Drosophila melanogaster: one gene and its partners. Changing the gene in region 1 together with any one later gene gives a genetic interaction. Each region holds a gene or a part of one and is shown on either strand. Other genes may lie near its edges.

Region 1 (4,703 bases):
CCATGCCACTGTGTCCTGGCCCGGCGATTCCCGGTGCACTCAGCGGCTGGGCGGCGGGACAGGCGAGCGTGGGCAGCGTCGAGGGCGGACTCTGCGGAGCGTTGGTTGGAGGCGTGTTGGGCGACGAGGTGGCAAGGTGAGTTGAAACGGCATTCTGCAAGTTAAGTGGAAGACAACAACGTTGAGTGCATTTGCTTAACGGAGCTAACAAGCGTTTGGTACTAAAAATAGCTGTCCAAGTTGATTATGAACAATATGTTGTACAATAAGTAAACAAATTTGAAATAAAATAATAAATAAAATTTATAAATTTAAGTACTGCACTACTAATCCCTTGATAGCTTATAATAAAATGTTTTAAGGCCTCTTTCTAAAACGAAACTTTTTTAGAAAAATGTTCTTCATCTTTGAAGTTAATTTCAGTAAATTGATTATCCGACTTTGATCTTTTCCAATTCGTTTCTCGAGTTTATGGCGGCCATTAAGGCGCTGCTTCTTGCGCTGGATAAAAAGCCCCAATAGACGGTCTACTGTACCGCGCTACCAGCTGGCACTAAAACTTAATTAAAAACGTAGCCCCTTATCAGTGCGATAAGAGCGTCTCTTCAGTGGGATGGGTTGTGGGCTGTCCACGGGCCCTTCAGAACTGCAGAGCCTCAGAACCACAAAACTGGGATCCCAACCGATGGATTCTTCCCCCCCTACAAACTGTGCTCTCTCCTCTCTCCACTCCCGAAAACCCCTTTCCCCTGCGATCCGGCGATCTTCAAAGTGGGGCCGCCATTACCAACAAATCATGTTTTCGATTGACAACATTGATTTAAATTACACAGCCGATTGCTGCCAACGACGACAGCGGCAACAGCAACAACAACGACAAGCTGCAACAACGTCCTAAGAGCAATTTGATTGTAAGTTGTCCAATGACTGCCTGGATCGATCCTCTATATGGTATGGTATGGTATGGTATAGCATGGTATATAGTGTGTTTGTGTGTGCACATAAGCCTATCGCGCACTTTTGTCAACACTTTTAGTCAACTGAAACAACTGCAAGAGCAACAACTGCAACAACTTCAGTGGACAAGAGCAACGTACACATTCGCACACATGCGACATGGGGTAAGGAAAACAAGTTTCAGGTTTGTTTATCGCTGCCTCCTTGGTTAACTTCTCCACTTCTTGAGGCTTGGGGCTGTGGGCTTTGGGGCTCCAGGGGCTCCGGGGCTTCGGGGCTTCGGGGCTTGGAGCCGCTCTTCCCGTTTAACATTTTACAAATGATCCGAGGCGTAAGATACGATTTTTATCGCAGGCCGGCGGTCACAGTGCTGCATGTTGTATCATCGGTCGTGATTGATACCGCCACAATGTTGTCGCTGATGTTGCTGTTGCAGTTGGGATTCGGTTCGGTGTTGCGTCTCGTGCTTTCATCAAGTGACAACTCAAGTGGCCCTATGCGATTAAAAATTAATTCCCGGTGTTTGCCGGATGGCTGGATGGATCCACAATACACTCGTACGATTTCTTATCAATGCGGCTCTTTGAATCAACCGCCGATGATTATCGACTATCTATGGCTACAGGCTATAACTATAACACAACAAATATCTCAACTCGAAGTGGTCGTTTTGCGGCTAAAGTAAATTATTTTCGGGTAGCCATTATGATGGCGAGGGTAGAGTGACAGCCATTCATGTTTGTTTAAAGAGCATTTAATATTTCCGATATTCCGTTTCAGCTTTCGACTTTGCGCCACAAGTTGCTTTTACATACATATATGAAAATATATGAATATGCTCGAGTGTCGAGTGCAAGCGATTAAATTTTTGGAACAGGGATACCATATTAACTGGGGATCGTGTTACCACTGAGGGATTATTATGGCTAAAATCCTATTGGACACTCAAGTGTGACTGAGCACGATGTGCGGTGACCTTGCCAGCTTGGTTAACAACCAAAGAGACATTGATGCATAAGAGAGATTTTCCGAATTGGCAGACGGTTTTTCGCGTGTTGTTCGCCCAATGTAGCACACTTGTGGTCCTGACATTTTCAATCTGTTTTATTTTTAAATCCATGTCTTCCGTTTGCCAAATCAAAATGCTAAGGTATTCGAACCCAGAGTAATCCCACTGTTTCTGCTTTTATCTACATGTGTTGCACTGATTTGCCTCGTAGCTGAACGGGTTTTCAATCTAATTGCCACTATCCAAATGCCAGACAAGCTAAAATGCAGCGATTAACTGAACCATCTTACAAGTAATAAAAAATGGGGGAAAAAAAACAAATTGATATACGCACCATTACTAAACAGATACCGGTTTCATTACTGTGCACTGTCATTTAATATTAATTTTTGCTTTTAACTAAAACTATAAAGCAAATCTTAGAGTTACGATGCACCGATGGACTCGCGCACTGAACCGACGTATGTGTATTTAGATAGATTTATAATCCGAGTGAAGTGATTGTGATTGTGCGATCTGTGATCTTGTGATTGATCCGAACTAGTTTTTATGTTGATTTTGGATCCGGCTTGCGAGCTATTTCAGTGTTTACTTTCTTTGGGCTGTGTTTATTTTTTTTTGTTATTCGTTTCGTTGCACTGCGTTGCACTTGCCGACGGCTGCAAGGAGCTGGCCAACTCGAGTTAGCTGGCCAACACAGGCGCTACTGGGCACCGTAAATCCGTAAAATCCGACGGGCGGCTCGACGGGAATCGTTTATGTGAGTCGTTTAAATTTGTAGAATTGGTAGAATCGGTATTCGGGAGGAGCAGCTCTATCCGGAGGATGCGAAAACGAAGCACGAATGAACCAGAGGCGGCGGCAGCAAATAGTAGTATCTGGGTGTGAATCTGATTCTGTTTCTGAATCTGGGTACTGAATTTGAATCCAGCTCGCAGAACGACGGCGAGCGGCGGGCAGAGAGCACTATTATTCACACTGCGGCACTGGCACTGCGGCGGACACGAACGATACGAACAATCTGCGTAACAGTCAAAAGTAGACTAACATGAGTTTCTTGAGCAACTACAAAGTGTACGACAAATGGGAATTACACGACAACCGACAATCGAAAAACAGCGCAGCGCAACAACAAGAACAGGCCCACGCACCACCACATCGATACATAGCCCGCGCCGCGTTTGTATGTGTGAGCGAGAGAGCGCACAAACGGGTTTCTCCCCTTAATTTTTACTCGCACCTTCGCTGGTGTGCGTGCGCTCTCTTTGCTCTTTTTGAGAGCGGCCAAGTATCTGTGCGCTGGTGTGCGTGCGAAAAGTATCTGTGTGCGCTGGAAAAAGTAGCAAACGAGGCGGCACGACGACAACACGAACGGCAACAACGGCAATAATGATTATCATTATAAGTGGGCTGGCGCTCCGGCTGTGTGTGGCACTCAGGGGATTGGGATTGGAATCGGCATCGGAATCGGTATGCTACGGTAGATACCCCTCAACCCCCTACCGAAACGTAGCCACCAATCTCGCTGCAAGTGCGAGCGAGACGCAGCAAACCAGTTGGTTAGGTGGAGGGGTGGGGGCAACAAAAAAAGTATCTACCGCCTGTGTGACCATAAATAAAGTATCTGCCAGCTGCGGCCGGGCGAGAGCGGGATGGCTATAGCCGCTGCGCCGTTGGCCACGAATCGCAACCAAGCGGCAGCGACAGCGGTAGTATCGCAACTTGCTCGCGTTGGCTGTCGTCTTGCTGGCGTGCGAGCGAGATGGCATAGCAGCAGCAGCAGCAGCAGCGGCGACAAGAAGCAGCAGCAGCAGCAGCAACACCGAGAGCGGCAGAACATGAAAAAATTAACTTAACAACTAGAAAAATGGCTGTTATTGCGTGTTGTTGTAAATGCCGATGTATGTATTTGTAGGCGATGTTGTTGCTGTTGTTGTCGGCGATGATGTTGCTGCTGTTGTTGCTGCTGCTGTTGCTGTTGCAACGCTGCTACTTGCTGCTGCTGCCGCAGTTGCTGTTGCTGCTGCTGCTGCTGCCGTGGGTGTTGCTACGTGTAGTTGTTGCCATAAACAACGCAACAACAACAACAACAACAAGACGAATGTCGCGACGTATGAAAGCAAAGTGTTTACGCTCGCTTCTCGCTTTTCGCCGTTGATGAAAAAAGAAAAGCCTGATGAACATGAACGACGAGACTCGTGAAGAGGTTGGGCCAAACGCGATGGGTAATGTTTTATCATCCGCCTCTGCCGCAGTCGCTGCTACGGCCGTTCCCCTCCAGAAACCCCCTCCTCCCCCATTACCCCATCCCTTTGGCAACCAACCCCCTGCACCGCCCCTCTTGACCGCTTTGGCTCTTTGGCTGGATTGGTGGCATCTTTCGCGCTGCTCCAACAAAAAAAGAAAAAAAAAAAATCAGAAGAAAAAACGAGAAGAACAAAAATCGCCACCGCAGCTGCCGTCGCTGCTTTTGCTGCTACAACATACGCTCTTACATTTTATTATGTAGGTATTTGTTTTTTGTTTTTTGTTTTTTGTATTTTCGTACTTCGCTTCTCGTTTTTGCCGTGGCGTTTCTTTAACTTTTTCTAATTAATTGAAACGCCACTCGAGAGGAGTGACGGCAGCTGCTAGAGCGGGATGGCGTCTATGTGCTACATATGTATCTGAGTGCTGAGCACATTTGAAAGCTACTTTGTCGTTCCTGGCAATCGGTGGTTATCCCTGCTCCTGCCCC
Region 2 (4,901 bases), on another chromosome or scaffold:
TACTGGTAATGTAAACATTGTCTGTCAGTTCATCAGTTCATCATGCTTCAAACCTAAGAAATAAATTACCTAAATCAATACTCGAAACAAAGATATTTAGTTAAGTCAATGAAAGTCCACTGTCAAACAAGTCAAATGATCTTCATCTGAAGTGATTACTCTACTTAAGATGCACCTTAATCTTCCGTATCTAAAGATCAAAAAGATAGAGAAGTCAAAAATGGTTCTTTATAGCGTAATCACTGAAGATGCAAATCAATCTAACCGTATCTAAAGATCCATAAAAACACCAACAAGAGCGATAAATCAGACCAAAAAGTCCGGACCAGTTACTCTGACTTCCTAATCCCAATGTGCGTGGGTGAATCTCAATAGATGATCTATGCAACTAACTCAATTTACGATGGCCTGTAGATTTAGTTGAGCCAACAAACGGTCTATAAAGACAGATTTATGGAAGCATAAAAATACCAAAATGAACATGCAGGCCACATTTTAGATTTTCGTTCCAAACAAATAACGACACATTGGAAAAAGGTAAAAAATAATAAACATAAATTCACCGACCGAACACAAAGCGAGCCGGGCCAAAAATACGAGTATCGAGAAGGGAACGGGGAATCAAGGTTGCCAAATTACGTCAACACCAATGATCGCCAACTAAAAATATCCAAAAGAAAAATAAAAAAACAAAAAAAAAAAACATTTCTAGCAAATCAAAGGCGACGTTTCGTCGTCTAACAAAGGGAGGCTAAACTGGGAAAATCGAGCGAAATTAATTGAAAATACGAGAGATTTCCGCAGATCGTTGCCAAAAGGAAGGGCAATAAGAAAATAAAAATCTCACTTTCCTTCCAGGTCTTGGCTATAGTCAAGTCCAAATCCATTTACCTCCACACCTGAGGCATTACTCAGTCCATTTGGGAATGACGTCGGGCCGAAATTGTTGTTCTCGATTCGGTCTTCCTTCTACGAAGTCAAATTCAAAAGTCAAAGGCACAATTTCGTGTTTATTTTGCAGGAAATTCCTAGCGATCTCAATATAAATATTTTATTAGTAAGTAGATAAAATGTGTGTGAATGCGAGTGTTGACCTTGCCGAAGGCGCTAAGGTGAAAACGCAATGCGTGGCCAAACGGAAAAGTGGGTATCAGCCCAGGGAAATTCATTTGTGTGGGTGATACCGATCTCTCTTCACCGCTCAGTGGCCTTTAGCCGGGCCTTTCAATAAACTTGGCCAATTTATGCCGCTGTAAACTGTGCGTGCTTTTCACATTCCACTTCTGTAATAGGTTCGGGAAAAAGCGACGAGCTATCGCCCACTGACTTTTGGGGCCTTTGGGGTCTTGATAAGATATATAGACCCTATATTGGCCAATGGCCTACGTACTGAGCAGATAAAAGGCTTTTCTGGAATTAAATATCAATGTCTTTTGATTGGCTCAATGGAAGCTTAATTGGTTATATTTGTCGATTGCAAACAATTCAATAGTATTGCACTTATTTATTTCAAAATATTTGTGAGCAATGAATCTAACCCAATGTTTTAATTGCACATCAACTCGCTGCTAACAATTAACGATTTCGAAATCTATCGAAGCCACTCATCTTTCGCTAGCAATCGAAACAACACACTCTAATTGAATTTGTATGGCTGGGCGATAAGAATCTTGTTTCCAGTTGAAAGAACAGAAACAAGGAACAACAACAACAAAACACAGAGCAACTCGCTGAGCAAACGAAAATCGAACTCAAACCTGGCGATGAACTCACTGCACTATGAATTACGATGATGGAGAATCCAGAGGTGCTAAGTAGTTGGGGCTTAAAACGAGCTTTTAAACCCAAATAATCCAGAGATCCAGAGTGATCTGTAGATACTTAGTTAGAGGTTTCAAAACGCACAGACAATCGGAGAGACAAAGACAGCAGCTGTCTGGTCGTAAACAAATGGCATCCACTGAACGTATCTGCGAGATACAAAATATTGGGGAGAAAACGAAAGCGATTCTCGTAAGTGCAGAACCCCCCAACAACAAAATATTCATTTGTGCGCACTATGTCAGCCGAGTTTACATCATTCTCCAGCATTTCCATCTGCTGTCGTAACTCGAGATACTTTTACGAGGGGAAGGGGAAGGAAGTCCCCCCCCCCCCCATCGCACTACCACCACCACTCGTGAGAATGCACTTGGCTTCGATTGCTTGAAATATGTGAAAAATGTCATAATTTTAATAGATTAAGTGGGCACAATTTAATTGCTTTTGCTGCCTGTTGTTATGTTTGTTTGGCTATTTCGGTCATTTCCCTCCAGAAAAACACAGAAATACCGAATTAATTTCCATCTCAACACACCCACGATCTTAATCCGTTCGGGGCCCCGAGGCGAAAATTAATGGGGCTAACCAAAATTCTATGCTCTGCCAGATCTGGGCAAATATGTCATATATTCGAATGTCTTGTCCGTTGATAATTAGTTCCATAATTAGTGGAAATGCTAATGAAATTGAAATGTTTTGCGAGCAACGCGCCGAAAAGATTTGCCAAGAGTTAGTGGAATCTTAAGGCGAGTGACACGGATCCATAAATCTTGGCCAGTTTATTATATTATATTATTTTTTTTAGCTAACTGCTTCTGGCATTCCTGCTTTATCGTTTATCTTAGTGCTAGATATCTTTTGATGTTTGTCAACTTTTTTTTTTACTGCAAACTGTTCTTGCACTCGAAGTAAACAATTTCCCACGCTCCAACCTGCCACTAACACGATTCCACTGATTTTCATCAACTTTTTCCCGCCGTAGTTTGCCGTTAAACACTTTTTCGTTGCCTTTTGTTTTGATTAGGCTTGGTTTCTTATATGTATATTCTATCGCGTTATCTGTGCACTTTTGCCTGCACCTTTGGCAGTGTGTTGTCACATATTCTATATATTAATCCCAGAGATCGTAGGACGCCGTTGGGAGACCGCAATCGAGAGACTCCGAAAAACACACGCGCTGCGCTCGCGATTCAGTAAAAGCGTCGCAATCGACTGAAATCCAAAGGGGGGCCCGATGCTGAGGCTCCAATAGACGAGCGCTCCGGCTCTCTCGCAGCTGCTCACGGAGAGCGGGGGAGCAAGAGAGCGAAGCGTTTGAGAGCTGGTAAACAAACTGCACTGCGAAAAAATCTTCTTAGATTTATAGATGTATGGATGTATGGATAGGCATAGTATATTCAAAACGATAGCTTAGCTTCGTAATAGGGGCTATATCTAAAGTAATATATATCTAAAGGAATGTTTAAAAAGTATGTATCAGCGGTTACAGCTTGTGAAACCAGTATTATGATTATTGTTGTTTCTGAGTAAACAACTAATAAACTAGTAAACAAGTAGTAAACTAATTTTGAAAAATCGAATTTAAAAAAAATGTATTTTAAATCAGAGTCCATATTGTCGTATTTTATTTTCAGTGCCAAGAGAGCCAGTTAAAAGAGAGAAAGAGCCCCACCACGTAGCTTTTCACTTGGAGTGGCTTTTCATTTTGGCTTGCGGCCTGCGGCTGAGCATTTCGACCGCAAGTGGGAGGCACAGCGAAAGGAAACCAGAGCGGACGAAAATATTGTCGCCCGATTGGAGCTTTCCTTTGGGTGTGTGAACAGTGGGCCAGCTGCCAAGAAAACCAACCCCTTCGTTGCTGACGAATAAACGAAAACGTGAGTCAAAGGCATCCAATATCAAAACATTTCTGAAACTATCTTCAATTGTACAGACAATCCGCAAGATTAAATGTTTCATAAAATGACAGTGAAAATTGGTATAAACAAAATTCCTCTGGGACAGTCATGTTGGAAATGCTTATCACTTAACAGCTGCTTAGGCTTTACAATTGTTTATCGACAAACATAGAAGATAACTAATTATATACTTTCATGACCATGAACACTGTGATATACATTGATACGATCACAGAAAAGGCAGAAATGGGATCTCAAAAACTCTTTAACCTTTCGTCCCACTGTGCGAACCTTTCCCCGTAACCATAAGCGATCATTGCTCTGCAGTTGGAGTGCTCCCCTCGGCGGAAAACGCCATCGACGCTCAATGCCCAGACAGACCTAACCGATCTCGACAGATCATCTCGTCTTTGCTGTTACAGTGCGCACACGCAACACGAACAGAAGACATTGCGTGTCGAGTGGGCGATGAAGTGGGCGCGCACTCACTAATGGCAGCAAAGCAAGATTGATGCAACTGAGTTGCTGGAGAAGATCAAGATGAAGTTGGAGATGAAGCTGAAGCCTCTACTTCCTGTGCGAAGTAAAGCTTCGAGGGCAGAATATTTATGCTGAGATTTTAAGATCTCGAACGAATTTCAGTATTATAGTTATTATTATATTATTGTAATCTAAAAAGTGATCTGAAATATTATTTGTTATTTAACATGATTTTGCAAAAGCTCTATATGAAAGTTTCTTAAGATCTAGAATCCTACAAGCCCAGCCGATAAGCAAATTTTAGCGGGCTCTTAGACCACTGTGCGTAGGTGTAGGGCAAGTCAGCTGGAATTCTTCATAAGTGTTAGTGGCCTGGCCTTTAGTCATTTCTTAAGAATTTCTGGACACACAACTCTCGGCTGCAGATTTCGTTTTGCTTCACTTTTATATTTTTATCAAAAGACATTCCGAAACAGCGAAGAATTGTGTCATAAAGAAAATAAAGTGAGACGACATGTAGACTTTTATTTCGCTGATGGAGACTAAAAGAGCACTGTGGGGCAGCGAAGAAAGCAAATACAGCCCGGCTGATTAAGCTGCCTCTCTCAGACCAGATCATTCACATGAGTACAAGGGTTTCGAACTTGGGGCTGCAAGAAACCACACCCTCCTTGCTTTCTAGAATTGTAAATGATTTCACAC
Region 3 (4,646 bases), on another chromosome or scaffold:
AATATATATTGTTTTAGGAGTAACTGCGTCGAAATTTCTACCAGTGCATTGGCCTAATTGAGAAACTAGCTTCAATACCAAAATTGGCTCATTGTCCTGGCCATAAAAGGCACACACACACTCAAACACACCATCAACGCGATGTAATAAAAAATCGAAACAAAAAAATAACTAGGCAAGAAAAACGTGCCATGCCTCGAATAATGAAGTTAATAATAAAAATGAAAAGAGAAACATTTGCCGCTAACGATAAACCAAATTTGTACAAATAAAAAAAATTAATAAACAATCGGCGTGCGCGTTTCTTTCGCTGTGTGTGTGCGTGTGAGTGAATAACTAAGTTTTTGCCACCAAAGTTGGATTTGCCATGCCATACTAATACTATACCCATATGTACATATGTACAATATATATGCACAAACCGAAATCGTAGACATAGCAACGGGTTTATATTTCTGTACCGACGACTTGCCAATTAGCAACAAAAGTTCTTGCGGTTGATTAATTATTCTAAAAATTCAATAACCCCACCTACCCGTATGAGCGAATGACAGAAAATAATAATAGAACAAAAAACTGTTTTTAAGGTCAGCACGGGGAGTGAAATCTGCATTATAAATGTCGTTGAAACACGCCTTTTTGTTGTACACGCATACGTTTGCACTTTGTAAAGAGGGCATTTCAAATATGTTTTTTTTCGAATATTACCTTGTTTTTTCTGAATTACTTTAATTCTTAAATGTGTAAATTTCAATTCCGATTAAGCATTAATCTCTGTATTATGTTTCATAGTGACCACTGTACTAACTCGCTGTATGTATGCATTACTTCTCCCATTGTTGTTGTTGCTGCTGCTGCTGCTAAGTGCGTCTAGTAATTTGCTGATAATTATCAACAAATGGGCGCTCACGCACATTCAAATGTAAATTAGGCAGTAGAGAGGGTGGGAGAGAGCGACTAGAGAAAGAGAGGGAGCATTTGGTCCGGGCAGACGCAACAATAGCAATAACAAAAGCAACGCATCGCTCAAATCTCATGCGATGCAGTTGCCAGCGAGAGTTTTGTTGCTAATTACATACACACATCGATGGCCAGCCAGTCAGAGTGCAAGTGCGTCTGTGTGTGTGTTTGATGAAGGGGAGTGGGGGCGGTTAACTTCAGTTGGCAACTGTGGGACCAATGTACAGCAAAAGAGGCTGGTACAGTGTTCAAATTAAATTGATTTGATTGACGACAGTTTTTCTATCAATAAAAAAATTTAAAAAAAACATCTTAATACAGCAATATTGTTTCCCGTGCACCATGATTTTATTAACTCATTTGTGGTCCACTAATTTTCATATACTAATCATGATTTCCCTAATAAAATCCACCAAAACCAGTAACTTTAATGGTTAGCTAATTTCAGTAGCTGATTTTCACCCCATTGTTTTTGTTTACAAAAAGGCAGAGCTTAATTTGAATTTCAACATTTCACATTTAACATATCAATGATAAAGAATGCATACATACACACGCACATATTAATTCTAGGAGCTATTGTTACGACTTTTTTGTATTTTATGAACAATATGATGTGCAAATGTTTAAATGTTGAGGCTTAGGGTTTATTTAACAAATGAATAGAATTTCTTGAATACAAATTTTGTGGCCTGACCAGCTACAACAAATACACACGGTCACACTGAGACCCACCGCTCTCTTGCCAACTCTCTAATTCCCAGAGAGCGGGGGTGTGCTGGTATGTGTATGTGTGCAAGTTGTGGAAATGAATGAAGCTCTGCTTGCCAACAACGTAAAAGCAAGTGTAAGAGCAAGCCCGGAAGAGGGGGAACAAGAGAGAGAGAGAGAGAGACTGGGGAAGTGAGATGGCGAGAACGGAAGCGGGAAGGGAAATACAAAATTTTCCAATTGGCAAGCACATACAACATGGGGTAAAAGAATTTCGCTTACCGTTTTTCGCTTATTGACGTAGGCGTCCGTTTCTCTCTGTACGTATATGTTTACGTGTATGGGTGTTTATTGCTGTTTTTCTCTTTTATTTTATTTGCTCGGCTTGTTTTTGTTATGCAAAAGGCATAGACTTTTTCGGGTTTTACACGTTAAAAACACAAACACTTTAAAAATTATTTAACTGCTCGCTAAGCCGTTGGTTCTCGCTCTCCCGCGCTGCAAATGCACTGCAAACAAAATGTTGGATTATGGCTGGCTGGGCTTTACAACTTTTCCACGAGCAAAACAACGCACGACTGTGGAAAACGCGAACCGACGAACCGAAAACCGTGAAAAGTGTTCATTCATTGAGGAAAATTGAAATGAGCGCCTAGCATGTGACTCTCTCGCGATTGCTCTCTATGTCTCTCTATCTCTCTTGCCCACACTCGATTTGGGGGCCAGTGTTGCCAACTCAGAGCATAGAGCAGAGCCCAATGCCAATAAGCCGAATCGGGGAAAAGGAGTAAGCAAAGCAAAAAGCCCTGCCTCAGATACTCCAATTCTGATTCGAACTTATTAATTATTTAATTGGGATTCTCGGGCAGCAGTATTGTGGGCTGGCAACACTGCTCCTCTGCACAGACAGCGCGTCGACGTCAGCGTGTTAGTGTTTGTGTGCGTGCTGCGCTCGCTCTCTTTTCCTCATTCACACTCGCACCCTCTCTGTCGCACGCGCATTTTCGATTGATTGTTGTTGTTATTATTATCTTTATACGAGCTTAATCCAATATTTAGCCAGTATCTATGCAGCCCAGTTTGTTTTCCCAGCTCTCTGTTTCACTTGTTTTCACACCTACACTTGTGCGTGCGCTCGCGTTTGTGTGCGTAAGTGCCTTGTATTTGCAAACGAATTTAATTTGCGACACCTAAAAATCGAACAAATGTCGCCACAAACCGTTTTATTCACACAAAAGCCTGCAGGCGCTGCCCGATTTGGCTATTATTGGGGTTTTGTGCGCGGGGCACAAGAGCAATTCACAGGAGCTCCACCTTCCGACATCCGCGACACGTCCGTGCGATTCCGAGCATGAAGTGAGAATCTGCTGGAGACCATTTGCCCCATTTGAGAAAATACCCCCAAAGTGGGACCGTTGGCCGGATTGGGCAAAATCTTACAAGTTGCGTGGCAAAGGCGAATGATACGGTTACACTGGCGCCGCGAGCGGGTGCAACCAAATGTTGTAACTTTTCGGTGATAGAGCGATATATAAATAAATAAAAATTGTAATTGCTTCTTAACATTTACTTTTAGCATGGTTTGCGAATTTATACAAAGATTGTATGAACTGGCTTGTGTACAATCTATCGTTAAGTTAGTCAGTACACGAACCTCTACAGTTCTACACTTCAGTCTGGCAATGCCCAACGTTCTTAAAAATTATGAAATTGTGGTAGCACTGAAAAATATCTGCCACATTTATATTCATTTCTTGTAGAGTAAAGGGGTGTAATATTGCTATTATTGTTTTTAGGTTTTATTGTTTAAGTTAAGTTACTTATATAATATAGTACTGTGTGCAGGAACTTCGGCTGTGTAGGTTGTTTATGATAATCTTCTTTGAATGCATTATTTACATGTAGTAACTTAGTCCAATGTTGTTCAGTTGTTTGGATTATAATAAAAACTAGCATAGTATTATTTACAATTTATGTTACTTTCTTTTTTATTAATATTTCGATTTTATGGAATAGGACAGTTCCTAGGAAATGTGGCATTTATAAAAAGATCAAGGCATCTGTCGGTCTTAAAGATGGTCTGTTTGGTTTAAATGTTACATATGAGATTAGTTCTTAAGATTTGGAGAGATGTCCTTGATTTGATAAAAGGCGTGGAAGAAAGTGTTTTCGAAACTGTAAGGTATATATATTCCGTCTGTCTTGATTTTCCTTCCGTCGAGATTTAGGAAACTTTAAAATCAAAGCCAAGTAAATGTAGATGATTTATATAATCTTAAATAGGTAAGGTAACACTTAAAAACAAACGTGTATCAACAAAAGTTTTTACGAATACGTAATATGCATAATATGCATAGGCATATGCATCCCAGAAAATTTCACAACTATTAAAACATTTAATAAACCAAAATACATTGTTGAAGGCTGTTCAAAATAATCCCCAGAGTAAATAAAAGCTAATGATTGGCAAGCCAAATTTTAAGTGTGACAATAGTCATTTAATTTAAGTACCGCTCCATTTGAGCTTGAGCTTAAAAACTTCTCATTAAACTCAACTTTCTTGAGTGGATAATTTATGAATGCACTATCCTCAAATGAGACCGCTCATATGGAAGGAGCCGTAAAAAGTGCAAACATTCATCAAATTCGCGCCGGAACTTTGGAAATATGAAAACCGCGCTATGTGATCCGTGCACCTGGTGCCGTCTAGCGACATAAATTACGCATACGTCGTGTTAACCGTGGGAAAACATATAAATGTGTTTGCACCCACGCGACAGCGGCAAAAAACAAATTGTTGTACCTTCTGTTGCTGCTGCTATTATTGCCATAACTTTGGACTTTTATTAGCAGAAAACTCTCGGAGCGAATTTTGGCTCCATCAACGAAGAGGCAGCATTTCCAGTTTAATGAGCTGAAAAGTGCAAGTTGAGATACGCAGGTCCCGAAGTATTAGGTTCATTTGATTAATTGGT
Region 4 (7,230 bases), on another chromosome or scaffold:
ATTTCATTACGGGCCGGATCCCTCAAATGATATTGAACCTGACCCACACACTGGCAAGGGTACATCGCCACCAGAGTCCAAATTCAAGGAACTTGGCCCATCCAAGCATCGCTACACCCTGCTAGAAAAAGATGAACTGTAATATAATAATAATAATGTATATTGAAAATAAAAGAAAATAATACAAAAATGTAATAATGAGCAACCTTCTCTGAAAGCAGATCAGCAGGTGAGCGGTTATCCATGCAAATAGCGGGCGCAGCAGCCTCAATTCTCTTCAATGCAATTCTAAAAATAAAAAGTCTGGATTTAACCACCTTTGTTATTGCAAAAAGAAACAGTTGCTGAATTATCCACAAATTGCACGCGTCACTTTTCAAGTTTTCCTCGTTTTGTTGTTAAAAATTACGCTGGAGATTTCGGCGAGGCGAACTTATTGAATTCTTTGGAATCCCCTTCTTAGTCAGCTAAGCTGGAAATGAATGATGTCAACTTCCGAATTCAAAGCAGTGATTTTGATTTTCTCTATATATATATATATATACACATATATATGAGCTATATATGTATACATATATATATGTTTATTCGTATGTACCATGTTACAGTTACAGTTGTTAAATTAGATTACATAATTATATAATATAATTCAGTCAAAACGAGCGATAACCGTGTGTGTGTTGGGATAAAAATCGGTTCAAATGAAGTCGTGTGCTGGCAATTATCATTTAAAAGTTGCTCTGACTGTTAATTTTAAAAGTACATTTAAAAGCGTACTCTCGCTACAATTAATAAGTAAAAGTGAAAAAAATAGGTGCCGCGTTCGGCTGGCTACCATGCGCTTAATATGGTCTCGAGCGCATGCCTCCATCGTTTCTCATCGGTCCACCATCGCGGCGATTGCCGCCACCACCTCCACGGCCACCGCGTCCTCCGCCATTGTTGTCATTGAAGCGGGAGTAGCCACCACCACCGCCGCCGCCGCCTCCGCCTCCCTGCGAGTTGCCACCGCGATCTCTGTTGTGATATCCACCGCCGCCGGATCCACGATCATTTCCTCGGTCGTAGCCTCCTCCGCCACCACCGCCGCCGTAGCCGCCGCCTCCACCACCTCCGCTAGAGCCCTCGTCGTCGCCCTTGGGAGTCTTACATCTGCAAATGGACGTGATTATTATTATCGTAGCAAGCCAAAGATTGTAAAATTTGTAGTTCCCCAAAGATAAAGACTTATGGCAATTATGTGGCGTATCAGCAAAAATTGCTTGCTTTCAAACACTGATAAGTTTTTCGTCTACACTTTGGGTTCTCCACGATATTTACAAGCAAGTGTGGAGTTTTAGGAATTATGATGGAATGGAATGTTGAAAGCAATTATATCTCAACTCTCAACTCACCTATTGCATTCGTTGCGCCAGGCAAAGTTGGTGTTATTACAGCTGTTGCATTTCCAGTCACCATCACGGGGCTGCACGTTGCCACCGCCGCCGCCACCACCACCGCCTCCTCCGCGATCGTAGCGTCCGCCGCCACCGCCTCCTCCGCGATCGAAGCGACCTCCACCGCCGCCGCCACCTCCTCCGCCGCCACCACCACCGCGACGTCCGCCAAATCCTCCGCGACCACCACCACCGCCGCCGCCGCCTCCGCCCTTGTTCCAGTTGTTCTGGCGCTGGGCCAGCGACACCTTGATCGCATTGCCGTTGAAGTCGCGTCCATCGAACCATTCAATGGCGGATTGTGCAGCATTGGTGTCGTCGTAGGTGACAGTGGCCTCTCCCTTGGAGGCGCCGGTCTCCTTGTTCTTGTACAGCCAAATCTTGGGCTTCATTGTACGCTTGTCTTTCTGTTGTTAGATCAGTTGCAAAGGAATAGAAAGATACAAAGGTTAAAACGTAGCTACAGATACATAAAATACATTACTACTTGCCTTGATGATGCCAATTGCTCCAAAGTGTGTCTCAATGTCCTGCTCGGTGGTCGAGGGATCCATGCCGGAGACAAAGATGGTGTCCTCCTGGGTGATCATGTCGTTGCCACCGGACCCACCGCCGCCGCCTCCTCCACCACCACCGCCGCCGCCCGAGTATCCTCCGTGTCCTACAAAAGCGAATGGGAAATAAGGACGAGCTGGCACGGCAGGGTATAGCTTAGAATGCAACTGCTACTTTATTTAATTAATATTTGGTTTTTTCATTTTCTTTTTTTTGTTTTGTTTTTTTCTTAGAACTTCTCGCCTCACTGCAACCACCAAAAAATGCAACGAAGGTGAGGACCAAAGTAGACGGCTGTTCCGTGACATTTTAACCAGGACACTTAGATGTGAAACCAGAATTTTGAGGTGTATTTCAAAAAACCTTTAGTGGGTGGACGACCGTGGGAGAGACGACATGGGGACACTTTGAACGGGTTTCGGTCGGCTTTTGAGCTATCAAAGCCAGACTGACTGGTACACAAGAACACAAACAGGTGACCCCAAATTGCCAGGAGTTAGCCCGACCGACCAACCCTTGATTTGATTCGTGACAACGCTTTGACACATGTATACAACACTTTACAGAAATTAAATACTAAATACCCGTGGGCTGACCGAGTCGGTCGTTAACCATTATATATTGATCAAACAGAGATCAACGATTTGGAAAAGTACGCTAAATACACTTTATAGGTAACGATGCGTGGACTTTTCGACGAAATTTCAAATGGGCAAGGCCCCACAATGAAAAGAATGCCGCCAGGAAAGGAGGATGTTTGTTTAATATGCATATTCAATTATTTACTCTTTTGGTTTGGAATTAGACTCTGTTTTTATGTTCTAATCGGTTTGGGTTTTCTTTTTTGTGTTTAAAATTTTGTTGTTCTACTTCGATTTTAGATTCAAGTTCAATATGTAGAAAAATATTGGTATACATTACTCGATATGTTTGCAATTGTTTGCATTATTTTTACCTTTGTTGTAGCTGTCCTTGCTGGCGCCTCCATTTCTAAAAGAGGATATTGAATAACTTATTTAATGCTTTGATTTTGGTTTTAATGCAGTATGGTGAGGTATACGCCTAGGATCCCTTGTTAGAATACGTATTGCTTTGTTCGATCTTATGGCATCTAATACCATCTATAGAGCACCCGGCACAGTTCGGTCAGTGACGACGACGTTCAAACAGCGAATGTCCGTTTTGTTGCTTTCCATCACAAAATTAGAGCCAAGTGCGGCGGCAGTCACTGATCAAACTGCCAAGGAGGACAACGTACATACTGTTTGCCATACATACACCTAACTCTTATACACATAATCTTAACGTTTGCATTAGTCTACTATTGGAAAAGCATTTGTTTACCAAATTCACAGAAATGAGAGGGAAGGAAGGAGTTCGACCCAGTTAAATACACTTATGTATGTAGTAGGTATATCGCAGCAAAATACCATCGTTATTAAACACACAACACTACCTACATACCTACATTCTTGCTTAACTACTATAAAACAAGCTTAAATGATAAATAATTCAAAAGTTTAGTAGTTTAGTAGTTGTTAAAATCACAAACAAAAAAAATACCTTAAAAACGGTCAATGAGATTGAAACTATATAAAACAAATTGCTTAAAACTATCTTACATTTAGATTGTTAGAGGTAAGCTCTCTCTTAGGCGCAAAATCATTGCTTTCTTATGTGTATAAACATATGTAATAACCTTAATAGCTAATAATTAAAATTTGTTATTATTTTTGTATACGTAAATACCTTAAGATGATTAGAGTCTCAGAACCATACCAATTCCTCCGAACTGTGCATTAATAATATATCGAATTTTTTTATTGTTTATTGTTTTTGTCTCGAGCCACAATTTATTTAATTTTATGATTGCTGGTTGATATTTTTTATATTCTTTTTAGCTTTATATCTTCGATTACACTTGTGTCATGTTTGATCTGGTTTTCATAACCATCCTGTTGGGAACACACACATTTTTTGAATGTTCATTTTGGAACATGTTTATGCTAGCATTGTATCGTATTAAGGCAGGAATGGATGATATAGTGTATGGTTTAAAACGATAATAATAACATGTGCGCGATTCTCTATGCAATTATCACAAATTCATCATAGATTTCATTAGGCGACCATTATTATTCCGATTGCAACGACTGTGGTATTACTTATTATTACTTATTCAGTATAACCAGTATTATTTATGCATTGCAGATATTTGTTTCCCCAGGGCATCATCTGTTTTTTTTTTTACCATTATACTCATTTGACTCGTCAAAACCATTTTGAAATACCATTTTCTAATATTTTTACACAGATTTTCGATGAAAAAAAAACAAACGTACATGAAATACAGTCATGCGGATAAATAATAATTTGCCAAATTGGGAGATACGTTTTTTTTTGTTGTTATAATTTTATGTTTTCTGCGTTTTTAAGCAGTCGGAACAAGTCGTAGTTGCAGGAATAGCTTCAAGCAGTTTCACACTCTGATGCAGCACAGTGCATCTCTTGCATTTCAATAATATCTTTAAAATACGCTTCATGTTTCAAGGAGTGGCTCGGTGTCTTTTCTCATTGGTTTGGCTGGATTGATTTGTAAATATTTATATATGCGTACACTTCTCTTATAACACTTAAAAAACCTCCGTGAAAGACTACTACCCATGATCTAAATAGCCTCGCTGTAACTCAACAGCAGCGAAATACTAAAAGTGGATAACATACCCGTAGGAATTGCCTCCTCTGTCGTTCCATGATCCGCCGCCGCCGCCACCGTTGCCGCTGCCACCAGAACCACGATGACCGGAACCGGAATCATAACCTTAAAAACATAAGTTTGTGAGTATTGGTGTGTTGCTCGCAACACAAAGTTCGCATGCACGCCTTACCACCGCCTTGTTTGCCGTAGTTCGGAGGTGGCTCGTTGTAGTTACCCGTTTTATTTGGCATTTGCTGGTAATTTGGTGGGGGGACAGCGAAATTATTATATCCCTGTCCCGAACCACCACCATAACCGCCACCTAGAGTGCACATATTTCATCGTTTTCAATTCACGTTGCGACTTATGCGCGTGTTAAAATTATACTTACGTTCCATGTTTAATAAACGTTGCGTGAAGTCTTTTTTTAATCAATAGAATTGCAGGAGTTTCAATAACTCGCTGCGTACAAATTGCTCGAATTGAAGAAAGCGTCAGATCGTCACAAATTCTATTGTAAAATGGCGTGTGAAAATTAATTAGGGATGTGCGTCGAAGGGGGCTGGTATGTGTGGGTCTTGTAGCGCCTATCGAAATATCTATCTATATATCATTGAAATGTGTGGGAATGGAACACAAATATGCCGAATATTATATTTGTGGGAAAATACGTATTAAATGGTAAAAATAGTTTTATTTAATACATTTTATCATTTATTTGCATCCAAATGGACTGAATCCAAGAGGTTTTAAATAATTAATCGGCAGCTTGATCGCTTTACAACACTAAAGCGCTTGCATCCCTGCAAACATTGTTTACAGTCGTTAGCACGTAACTTTGAATGAAAGTCGAAATCAGCTGTTTGTGCTTTGAAATTGAATTGGTGTTTACGTGGATTTAATTTTTTCTGAAATCAAATTAAAGCAGAGCCAAATACAAAATGATTGAAATATCAGATTTGCAGAGTAAGTAGCCATTAATATGCGAAAGCCATCAGCGCAACTAAACCGCCTATTGAAATCTTCCCGCAGAAATTGGCATCGGCTTGGCTGGTTTTGGCATTTTCTTTTTGTTTCTCGGCATGCTGCTGCTGTTCGATAAAGGACTGCTCGCCATTGGCAATGTACGTTACCCACATGCACATGCACCATATGCCCCATATAGCACACCCTTCGAGCTCTATAATAATAGCAATCGCCTCTTTCCCGCAGATTCTATTCATATCGGGCCTGGCCTGCGTCATTGGCGTGGAGCGCACGATGCGCTTTTTCTTCCAACGGCACAAAGTCAAAGGCACAACGGCCTTCTTAGGGGGAATCGTCATCGTCCTGCTGGGATTCCCCATCTTCGGCATGATTATTGAATCCTATGGATTTTTCGCACTCTTCAGGTTCGTAGCACCCTGGCCAAGTCCCAGTCGGATTCGTTTAAGACCATTTGAGCGGGGCTAACCGGTTACGCACTCCACATGGTCTTTTCGCTTTCCCGCTCTTAATACACCATTCGCAAGTCAGGGCTTGGCAGTCAAAGTTGCTGTCAGATGACATCCTTTAGAAATATTTTATATTTTAATTGAAAGACTGCAAGTCATGTAGATGGGACAATTTGACGCTGTGGCATTAACAGCAAATACCAAGTATAATTCTTCAGATTCGCTTACAAAAAAAGCTCGATCAGATTTTATAGCATTTGATCAGAGCTAAAGAAAGCAAAAAGTATGTCCTTCATTATAACTATTCGCTGTTTCTGTCTGTTTTGTTCTGTTCTGTCCTTTTATACATTTTTTCCTATCTATACCTCTCTCCTTTTACCTTTTCAATTGCATGCTTCTTCATAAGTTACGACCAAAGGTGCAACTTAATAATTACCCTAATATATGTAGGTCTTTTTATTCATTAAAATATCTTTTAACGAACGTTAAAAGGTCTGCTTCATATATATCGGATTAATGAATGGAAATCTATTCAAAGTAGGGAAAATATTCAGTGAATATAAGAATTTAACTTAACTTCGAAACGTGCAAGATGGCAATACAAGTGGAAGTAACTTCTTTTAGTGATTTGTCGTTTACTTATTACTTATTAATGTCCTTCTCTTTATATTTTCAGCGGCTTCTTCCCCGTGGCCATTAATTTCCTAGGCCGAGTGCCTGTTTTAGGATCGCTGTTTAATTTACCATTTATACAAAAGGTAAGGTAGCATGGAGCCTCACAAAAAATAAAAAATATAACATAGCAAATAGCCCATACTCATGATCACTTAACGCGCTCATCTCGCCTTGACGCGAAAGCCCATTGAAATAAACTGAAGGGTCCACATTCCCAAACGACCACGCAGACTCGATTTCATAGCCAATTTTGGTATTTATCTAAGCTATGTATTTCAACATTTACAAGTCCAAAGTAGAGGGATTTAGTGGCGCGTTTAGTGGATCTTTTCCCAGTCCTCACGCTCCTCGCGCTCCTTCACGACCTCCTTGAGGTAGGGTTCCAGATACTTGACGTCCTCCTCGTACTTGGTCCACTGCTCCTTGGGCAGAA

What was found.
Region 2: of mirr (region 1) and Pax, changing one suppresses a phenotype caused by changing the other (phenotypic suppression), as found in Drosophila melanogaster (one study listed by BioGRID).
Region 3: of mirr (region 1) and cic, changing one suppresses a phenotype caused by changing the other (phenotypic suppression), as found in Drosophila melanogaster (one study listed by BioGRID).
Region 4: of mirr (region 1) and caz, changing one suppresses a phenotype caused by changing the other (phenotypic suppression), as found in Drosophila melanogaster (one study listed by BioGRID).

The regions. Positions count from the first base shown.
Region 1 is NT_037436.4:12,691,951-12,696,653, reverse strand, and holds the start of mirr (mirror), read right to left. Parts: upstream 3,016-4,703; 5' UTR 2,343-3,015; coding exon 2,301-2,342; intron 155-2,300; coding exon 1-154.
Region 2 is NT_033779.5:19,420,515-19,425,415, forward strand, and holds the start of Pax (paxillin), read right to left. Parts: upstream 3,039-4,901; 5' UTR 2,901-3,038; exon of another isoform or gene 2,765-2,900; intron 1-2,764.
Region 3 is NT_033777.3:20,251,161-20,255,806, reverse strand, and holds the start of cic (capicua), read right to left. Parts: upstream 3,038-4,646; 5' UTR 1,954-3,037; intron 1-1,953. UniProt on the Drosophila melanogaster protein: Transcriptional repressor required for the specification of numerous cell types during embryonic development. Required for terminal patterning of early embryos.
Region 4 is NC_004354.4:16,286,808-16,294,037, reverse strand, and holds caz (cabeza), read right to left. Parts: upstream 5,229-7,230; 5' UTR 5,088-5,228; coding exon 5,081-5,087; intron 5,012-5,080; coding exon 4,880-5,011; intron 4,813-4,879; coding exon 4,716-4,812; intron 2,982-4,715; coding exon 2,947-2,981; intron 2,098-2,946; coding exon 1,928-2,097; intron 1,844-1,927; coding exon 1,395-1,843; intron 1,153-1,394; coding exon 843-1,152; 3' UTR 518-842; downstream 1-517. Other genes in the region: ERp44 (endoplasmic reticulum protein 44), read left to right, coding at 1-142; UQCR-14 (Ubiquinol-cytochrome c reductase 14 kDa subunit), read right to left, coding at 7,115-7,230; CG32576 (uncharacterized protein), read left to right, coding at 5,631-5,655, 5,722-5,813, 5,902-6,080, 6,799-6,880. UniProt on the Drosophila melanogaster protein: May participate in a function common to the expression of most genes transcribed by RNA polymerase II.